Coturnix japonica: one gene and its partner. The protein of the gene in region 2 interacts with the protein of the main gene of each other region in a pairwise test. Links are inferred from orthologs where the notes say so. Each region holds a gene or a part of one and is shown on either strand. Other genes may lie near its edges.

Region 1 (5,177 bases), on a different chromosome or scaffold from region 2:
ATCACCATTTCAGCAGCAGGAGGGTGAACTGTCCCAGCAGGAGAGAAGATACCCAAGGCAGAGGAAAAGGGAGTTTACCTCAAAGGGGCAGGGAGCACCTGAAAGGGATGGGGCTGTGCCAAGTGAAGGAAGCAAGTTCAGCAAGTGAAACTTTTAACAGTGCAAGCACTACACATGAGGGAACCCGACTATGTGTTACTGCAGTTTAAAAACATGCTCTGAGCATCTTGGTCCTGTATCTTGGGGGTGGGTAAGCAGCAACAAGGGACACACATGCCTTGACAGACTAGTGCAGCTAGAGTTGTGCATTGAGTTTGACTGGATTTTGCTCCTATTTGAGTACCAAGCAAACCCAGTAGTGTAAAGCAGAGGTAGAATAGTGGAGAAGGAAAAGACTTCATATCACCAGAGAAGTGAAAAGATTGATCTCATAGAGAAGGCCATGCTCTGCTAAAGTGTTCTCGGGCACTCCTGGCATTACATCCTAACAACATGGGCTGGATCCAGAACCAGCAGTGCACTCCTTTTAAGTAAGTTATATCCTACTAGAATAGAAGCATAGTTCTGGCAGGACAAGCTGCCCCCTGGTACCCACTTCCATGCCAGCGACACCAACTTGTTTCATCATCCAGTTCCAGGAGAACAGACCGAGGCCCCATCCATCTTCCAGCTAAACAGACTATGGTGTTCCTTCAGGCAGGAAGCAGAGCTGATACCTGCGCAGTTGTGCCTCCAGTGACAACTGAAACTTAATACGTCATCTCAGATGTTGAGGAAAGGTAGTGGAGAGTTTCTTGCAGGACAGTTCCTCCAGACAGGACACAGCAGGCAGCTGCCATTTAGTGAACAGTTCTTTCTTTCTGTCGCTGGTAATCTGTACAAGAAAAAGAACACAAGGCTGAAGTGACAGAAGAGCAGTTGCAGATGGTAAGAAACTAGCCAAAATATTACAAGAAAAACAAATTCTGCTTATACTTCATTAATAGATAACAGTGTCTGCTGCCTTCATAGACAGCAGCTGGTTTTAAAACAGCGCACCCCAGCTGGTTGTTTCAAGTTATTTCAGTGCTCGTTTTTAAAGTTCTCTCTTCCCTTGCTGCTTATTTTTCTACACTTAAAATTTAAGGGCCAGTTTCCAATTTTATGAAGAATCCTTGTTTGGCTTCATTTGACTTTTCCTTGCTCCTCCTTTCTTCCTTTGAGTACTTCTGGACATTATGGGTTCAGAAATCAATAGCTAAAAAGTTTTTCCCTCTTGGCAATACTTAAATATACTTATAGAGATGGACTGAAAACACAGGCAGTGTCTATCTACCATCAGAATAGGTCCACTAGCAACAAAACTAGTTCCTGTGTTATTCAAGGATAAGCAGGTTCTTATGAGGTTCCATGAGGAACCAGCTTGGCTTTTAGCAGTGTTTTTTTTAAGTCCTGCTCTACAAGATTCTATGCTTGATCAGTTGAAGTTAATCCCCGCTGTTTTGACTTGATAACTTTTCTGATCCCCAAATCAAAGCCCAGTGTTTTCTCAGCTGAAGACTGCTTGTGTGACAACACCTATGATTTCAGACTCATCACTGCTAAGCCCAGGTGGATCAGCAGGGATGCAGAGCAGACTGTTAACCCAGGAGAAATGGTGCTAGGTGACCAGATTTGGAGCTAGCAGGCACTTACTGTAAGGGAAGTAACGCACACGCATGGTGATTTCACGGGCCGTCTTCAGGATCTCCACAGCCTGAAAGTAGAAAGAGTTGATCAATGCCCAAACTGTTTTGGAGGATGGGAAACAGTGGTGCATCAGTTACACAGTGCCCCCAGCTGAGCTGGTGAAGGAGAAGGTGTATGCAGCACTTCCCCTCTTCCTGCCTGGGAGGAGAGCACATGCTGGGGAACATGAGTACTCACCTTGCTGTGCTCGATGTCCTGGAAATCCACATCATTTACAGACAGCACCTGATCTCCTTCCTGCAGCCCAGCTCTGTGTGCATCTGAGTCAGGGATCACCTGCAAAAGGCAGAGCAGATGCAACAGTGCTGACACTCTATGGTCAGTATCACAGGTCTGAGTGCTTGCATAATGTGTTCACATGGGGTGGGGATCATTTGGAGAAGAGGGACTGTAGGGTTCCCCATAGGCAAGGGAAGGGTAAGCAAAGGGTGCAGCATTGCCTGTGTGCTACTTGGAAAGAGGCAGATTACACCTCTGAGTCTGGAGATTCATATAAGGACAGATGACGGGCTCCAAACACACCCTGCTGGCTCAGCAACACCCAAAGGAACAGACAGAACACAAAGGAGGAAGGAGAGCACAAACACACCTTAGAGATGAAGATCCCCAGCTGCGAGGCCTTTCCTCCCCGGATGTTGAAGCCCAGCTATGAAACAAACCAGATCCGCAGTGAAACATCACTTTGACAGCAATCCCATCCCTGGGCTGTTCCCTTGTGCTCCTCTCACACGATATCACCATACCCTACAGCTTCCTCCCCCCTCCACACACAGCAGGGTAGTAATCCCACTCACCTCCCCCAGGGCCCAGCACACTACTGACCACCCAGGGTTACCCTCTACGTGCTCTTGAAGGGTGAGTCACTCTCTTGCACTCAGTCAGAGCTTATCACGCCCTTACAGCTTTACCAATTTAGGGGAAGACAAGGTGAATTCAATACGATACAAAGAGAACAAGGAGGCGCACAGTGCCGCGGGCCGGGCCGCAGCGTGGTCCCGCAGCACTCACTTGAGCCCCGGGCGGCTTCTTAAGGACGACGGTGCGGGGCAGGAACTGGGTGAGCTCGTTGTTGTAGTCGGGGTGATAAACCCTCTGCAAAACAAAGCGGCGGGCCTGAGGCGCTGCCCCCCAACCGAGCCCCACCGCGCCGGAACCCCCCTCGGAGCCTTCCCTCACCTCGTGAGGCGGCACCCAGGCGGGCGGGCTCTCGTAGGGCGGCAGGAACACCACCGGGAAGTCATCGTACGGCAGCCGGCCCTCCATGCCGCCGACCGGCCCCGCCGCGCCCTTCCGGCCTCCCTCGGTCCCTCCCCTCGCGCGGCGCGGCGCGCAGTGATGACGTTGAGCTCCGTGATTGGCGAAGCGAGCGCGGCCAAGGTTTGAAAGCGGGCTGTTGGGGAGCCGCCATCTGCACTGCAAGGGGAGGCGGCTCTGAGCGCGGTGCGGGGCTGCGGGCAGCTCCCGGCCTCTCCCTGCTTTCTAGGGCCACTCCGTGCCTTCTAGGGCCGCTCCTTGCCTGCTGCACCGAGAGCCTCGCAAGCTTCTTCTGCGTTTTTCGTCCCGCTCTGTGTTGGCCCGAAATGGCGCAAGAAGAGGAGAAAGGGATTCCGGTGAAGGTGGCGTTGCGCTGCCGCCCGCTGGTGCCGAAGGAGACGAGAGAGGGCTGCAAGATGTGCCTGAGCTTCGTGCCCGGGGAGCCGCAGGTGATCGTGGGGAGCGACAAGGCCTTCACTTTCGACTACGTGTTCGACCCGGCGGTTGAGCAGGAGGAGGTCTTCAACACCGCCGTCGCTCCGCTCTTACAAGGCATCTTCAAAGGTAGGGCTGACATGGGGGGGGGGGGCTGGGAGGTGCCTTCAGTCCCCGTTCGCTGCTGTTTGCTTCGGTTCGGAAGGTCGAACTCGGTTCGGAAGGGCCGAACTCTGCCTGATTGAATAGAACGGTCGAATCGCAGAACGGCTGGGTGAGGAGGGGCCCTTAAAGCTCACCCAGCCCCAGGCTCTGCACTGCAGACTGGTTGCCTCCCAGTTCAGGCTGTACAGAACCCATCTGTGGCCATGGTGAGAGCAGAGTTGGCTCTCACCAGCCTCTGAGAATTCCCCCTAACACTTAACATAGGTCTCTTTTTGTTCAGAGCAATCCCCATTTGTCCTTTGAATTCATTAGTTCATAGACATCCTTAATTGTTGCTGTCGCTGAAGTGCAGTTAGAACGATAGAGAGCTCCCACTGGCTCTAGTGAAGCAGCAGAACAAGTTGTCTGTTTGTTTGTCTTTAAAGTACTGATGTACTTATTATTTTCTTTTCATTCAATCCATTTCTTAATGTTGCTAAATGTGATCTGTGCATACACGTTGTATAAATCAACGTTGCATTTCCTGGAGTGCTGCTTTTCTTGTCAAAGTTTCTTCTAGTTTCTTCTTCACCACCTGATGTGGGCATTCTTTGTTCCCTCAGGATATAATGCTACTGTCCTGGCCTATGGGCAGACAGGGTCTGGAAAAACATACTCTATGGGAGGTACTTATACTGCCAGTCAGGAGCACGATCCCAACATGGGGGTTATCCCTCGTGTAATCACGCAGCTGTTTATGGAGAAAGAGCAGAGGCAGGACTGGGAATTCGTCCTCAAAGTCTCTTATTTGGAGGTAAATGTGGTTTTGGTTTTCAAACTATTGGAAATGTACGAACTGCATATAAAGCGGGTTTTTAGTATGTCCAGGTCTACATCTGACTACATGAGATCTTATCTGAGTACTCTAAAAGCAAGATGAGTGCACCCTCACGTGCGTTTAGCCCTGATTTCAATCTAGTTGTACACCTTTCTTTGTGCAGATTGTTTTCTCTAAAAGCTGCTGATTTTCAACTGCTGTTCTGATGCTTTCAGATCTACAATGAGGAAATTCTTGATCTCCTGTGCTCATCGAGAGAACGGTCTCCTCAAATCAATATACGAGAGGATAATCAAAGCATAAAGGTCTGCTGGGCTGTCAGAATCAGTTTGGGGGCTGTGTTTGGGGACATATTTCAGTGTAACCACAGTCAACCTGTTTGAGCCCTACTTTGTATTAGTGCATACAAAATCACTGCAGCTTCTCCTTCCTCTCAAAATCAAACTGCTGATGGTCCTTATGTTTACTTAAAATGTAACACCAGTAGGGTTAAACTTGCATATAGAAATGTGATGAGTGAGAGGTAATGAGACATCAGTGGTGCAGACTTTCTGTTGCAGAAAGGAACCAGGTCGAGACTCGAACTCGTGGGTACTCCAGGGCTGATTTTATTAACAAGCTCAGTGCAACATGCATACAGAGCTTGGGTCACTCCTAGTGAATGACCATCAAGCTTTACAGAGGTCCTATATTTATATGTTTAGGTAAACATTACATCACTTATGTTATTCATTCTCGTGATTAATCAATATATGTTCACTCTTTCTTTCCCAAAACG
Region 2 (4,549 bases):
ACAAAAGCAAATGAGATGCTTATCTTGTATAAATACATGTGATCCAGTCTCACTCTATAAGAAAGAAAAACGTCCAGTTTACCTGCATCTGAAGAGCTTCTTTGCTGTTTATGTTTACTTAAACCTTCCATGACATCTTGAATTCTCCACAGTTCCTTCTGAATCTGAGCACGCTGTATCCCAGCTGACTCAGTCTGCCAGTAATGAAACAGCACGTTTAGGTGATAAATAAGAATGTATTGTAGGAGGGGCAAAAAATAAAACCTCTTTCTCTAGACAGCACTTCATATTCTTTTGCAATGAACAAAACAAAATGAAATAATGATAGATACTCTCCCATTAAAAGGTAACAAATCAGTATGTTGTCAGAAAAAAGCGGACAGATTAAGTCATTTTAGAAACACGCCAGTTATTTTGATAGCAATTTGCAAGCTGAAATTTCACTTAATGGAATTGCATCTTCTCCTTACAAAGAAAAGCAAAGCCAAGGAAGACCTACACACAATGAAAGTAAAGGAATCATCAGTTCCAATCTGAAAATAGCTGCAGATGAACATAGTGTTTGCATACTACATATAAAATGTAGGCCCATTTGCGTTCATGGTTATGCATGCTTTGGGCTGAATAACACAAATTTCTCAGCTCTTGAGTTTCCTTGTAATCCCTCTCTCATAGCAGAAAATTAGTCCCTAGAGCAAAAACATCCATTAACATCCATTGATACCTCACAGCGTTGACCACACAGACCTGTCTATTCCAGATACACATGCACACAATTGTGTGTCACAGAAAGATTACCTCAGAAATTCAGAACTTTGTACCTATTGACCAGTTCTCCAGAGAAGGGAACAAATAATAAAGTAATAAGATAAGCAGGAAGGGTTCTGATGTTTAACATCTGAACTTTAAATATTTCATTTATTTTGATACAGTGATATAACTACATTTTAAAATCATGAGATAAAAGAAGGGATTTATGTGAACACTTAATATCTATCATAGCAATGAAGGTCTGAGGAAACTTCTCCATCTGGGACACGATCACTGAAACAGAAAGAGATGGACACAGGAAAACTTACATGGTAGCTTCAAAATATAGAGAAAAGCTAAAAACCTCCTCAGAACTGATGAGCTTTTACTTTCTTTTTATATCTTATATGCTACCAGACCACACATCGTCCCCCTCCTTTTTTTCTGTTTTCCATTTTTGTAGACTTTTGAACACAAACATAGAAAATGAAAAAGCATTAAATGTATCTTTAAGACCTATGCCAGACCTGAATTTCTCCAAGCCGATCAAGTTGCTCCTGCATATGGTTCCTTGTTGCTGTTACATCATATTCTAGTTTATCATATTCTCTCCAAGCTCTTTCCAGTTCCTAGGTATATGACAAAAGAAAAGAGTTGCGTGTACATACTCAGGGTAAAAAAAATAACATTAATAAGGTAGACAGTTTTATTCATTCAACGGCATGAAACACCAGGGATTAATTCATAGTGATTGGCAGTAAGTATACACATAGTTTTAAAGAATGCCATGATTAAACAGCTTTAGTATTTTCTGATGATACTGAATGACGTACAAACTAACAGCATTTTATCTTTTCACAAACTAAAGGACATTCCAGGATGAAATCTCCAGACTACACTGTTATAATTAGAAGGCGTGTGGATCCTAAGATGCCCTTCCACAGTTTCAGAAAACCCACAAAACAGAAGTAAATTTGTCTCTTTTATCACACAGAATACATAGGTNGTAAATTTGTCTCTTTTATCACACAGAATACATAGGTATGAGTGCAAAGCATGTGCATCTATATACAATTTATTATGCAAGACAACTAAGTCATCCAACCTTGCTTTTAACATTACAGATGAATACCTCAGGCTTGCTAATACACTTGTTTTTACACGACATGAAAATGCAAACACCAGAAGAAGGCACAAAAAGAAATCTTTGAGGTCAGTTCTGTCATTCTCCCTTACTAAGCCTGGATCAAGTCCTTTATTTGATTTAGCATAAATTTAGAAGTTTGAGAGCTGTTCTAAGATTTCTTTTAGTTTCCTATGCTTCCATTTTCCTCATCCAGCCAATCTCTTTTACAACATACATGGGAAAGAACCTAAAAGATCATTCATCTCCAACTCCCCTGAAGTGGGCAGGGTTGATCCCAGCAGCTCAGGCTGTCCAGGGCCCCGTCCACCTGGCCTTGGAAACCTCCAGGGATGGGACATCCACAGCTTCTCTGGGCAGCCTGTGTCAGTGCCTCATCACCTTGTAAGTGAAGAATTTCTTCCTAACATCAGACCTAAATGTCTCCTCTTTTAGTTTAAAGCAATTCTCCCTTGTCCTATCAGAATCAGACCACCTAAGAAGTTGGTCCCCCTTTTGCTTATATGCTCCCTTGGTACTGGAAGGCCCCAATGCGTTCTCTCTGGAGCCTTCTCCAAGCTAAACAAGCCCAGCTCCCTCAACCTTTCTTCATAAGAGAGGTGCTCCAGCCCTTTGTTCATCTCAGTAGCCCTCCTTTGGACCCACTGCAACAGCTTTGTGTCTTTCTTTTGCTGGGGGCCCCAACCCTGGACGCAGTACTCCAGATGGGGCCTTACAAGGGCAGAATAGAGGGGAACCATCACCTCTTTCTCCCTACTGGTCACCTGTCTTTTGATGCAGGCCAGGATGCAGTCAGCCTTCTGGGCTGCAAGTACACACTGCTGGCTCTAGTCCAGCTTCTTGCCCACTAGGATCTCCACATTCCTTCTCTGCAGGACTGCTCTCATTGACTTCTCCCAGTCTGTATATATATCTGGGATTGCTCTGACCCAAGTACTAGACCATGCACTTGGCCTCAATGAACCTCATTAAGTTCTCATGGACACACACTTTAAGCTGTCCAGGTTCCTCTGGATGGCATCCTCTTCTTCTACTGAGTGAACTGCATTGCTCAGCTTGGTGTTATCTGCAAACCTGCTGAGAGTACACTCCACTCCATTTACAAAAATACACGTGAGTAACAGACAACTGAGATTTGCTGGAATGTAATGAAAAATAACAAAAAACTCAAACCAATCAAAAACATGACAATAACTGTTTAACAGGTCACTGGGTCTTACTAGCAAGAATGTATTACTTACTGCAGTAGCTCGCGATACTTCTCGACAAGTGCCAAGTAGTCCATTCTGTAAGTCATCTCTCTGTAAGACTACATTTTGTATGGCTGCTGGGTTATCTGCATTCATTTCTATCTCCTGACTTGCTGATAGCAAAGCTTGCTCAAGCGTGTACTATTATAATAAAGAGAATTATTTTTAATGTTCTGCATCATTGGGTTGATTTTCATTACATTTCAGTTATCAATGTTATGATAACAAGCATGTAAAATAACATCCACTTTAGGTAATAAATATAATTGTCCTACTTTCTCCTTGTGTAGCTGTTGAAGCTTCTCTTCCAGTGCTTGTACAACTTTATCTTGTTCACATAAACGGCTAAGCTTAGCCTAATATACAACAGAAAATGACTGCAATTAGAATTGTTTTTAATATCTTAAATAACCAAAACATAACTTCATTAAATCATTACATGAGACTATACAACATTTCTTTACCACAAAATATGAATTCTACAGTTCTGAAGGCATCAGTGTTGTATTTTCAAATTAAGCTCAAGAAACCATAAGGTACTATGAAATAAGTGTTATTGTAACATGACACAGTACTGCTCAAAATATATCATTTATGACTCTACAACTAGATGGTTATAACTTAATAACAGCTAACAAAAAACTCTTTTGAGAAACATATTCTTCATTATTATATATAACGTTGTACACACTGCTAGTTCTTCCCATCGTTTCTGTCAGGTGCTGGTTTTTGATAACTGTGCTCTGCTCTTTTGGCTCCAATCTAGGCTTGGCTAGAAATAAATCTGTTCCCCTTCAGCTCCAGTTTGGAGCAACTGTTCAGTGCACTCTAATCAGTCTGAAACTGTTTTCTTTTTTTACAGTTTTTTGGTTCAGTTTGTGCTGCTGCTTTTACTTTCTAACTTTAATTGGAGCGTTAAAGTAACATCCCTTAAATCAGCATGCCTACTTTTACGTGCATTCATGCAAATATGGCTAGATATGTACACTTGTGCTTCTATTTGAACTACATCTACAGAGTTTTTCCTTTCTTGTAGCATTTTACATTTAAACACATATAGCACTTGAAATTTCATCCTAAAATGGAATATTTCTTGCAACTTAGAAACTTTTTAAAAAAAAATCCTATACTCTCAAGTTCACAGATCAATCTCTGTTAGTAGTCACCTATATGAAGTACATTCCAAACCCAAATGTCAAGGGAAAGATTATTATGAAAAGAAGACAAATACCAACATTTCCAGTGAAGAAAAAATACAGATTACTTACATCAATATCCAGCTCTTCAGTTCTATATTTGTATAGTGTACCCCTACATTCTTCTTGTGTTAACTATAAGGAAGAATAATATTGCCATAAAACAACTTAATTTGACTATGAAAACAAAGCCAGTGTTCAGCTAAAGA

The links.
Region 1: the proteins of PLEKHA5 (region 2) and PDZD11 interact in binary tests that used the Homo sapiens proteins (3 or more experiments, as listed by UniProt). The two-hybrid records come from large-scale screens. The link is inferred for Coturnix japonica from reciprocal best matches to the Homo sapiens genes PLEKHA5 and PDZD11.

What each region holds. Positions count from the first base shown.
Region 1 is NC_029519.1:1,231,179-1,236,355, forward strand, and holds the start of PDZD11 (PDZ domain-containing protein 11), read right to left. Parts: upstream 3,050-5,177; 5' UTR 2,992-3,049; coding exon 2,905-2,991; intron 2,821-2,904; coding exon 2,737-2,820; intron 2,375-2,736; coding exon 2,318-2,374; intron 2,005-2,317; coding exon 1,906-2,004; intron 1,736-1,905; coding exon 1,675-1,735; intron 875-1,674; coding exon 840-874; 3' UTR 1-839. Other genes in the region: chromosome-associated kinesin KIF4A, read left to right, coding at 3,309-3,546, 4,185-4,375, 4,615-4,704. UniProt on the Homo sapiens protein: Mediates docking of ADAM10 to zonula adherens by interacting with PLEKHA7 which is required for PLEKHA7 to interact with the ADAM10-binding protein TSPAN33.
Region 2 is NC_029516.1:59,120,264-59,124,812, reverse strand, and holds part of PLEKHA5 (pleckstrin homology domain-containing family A member 5), read right to left. Parts: intron 4,476-4,549; coding exon 4,413-4,475; intron 3,501-4,412; coding exon 3,420-3,500; intron 3,286-3,419; coding exon 3,136-3,285; intron 1,380-3,135; coding exon 1,278-1,379; intron 195-1,277; coding exon 83-194; intron 1-82.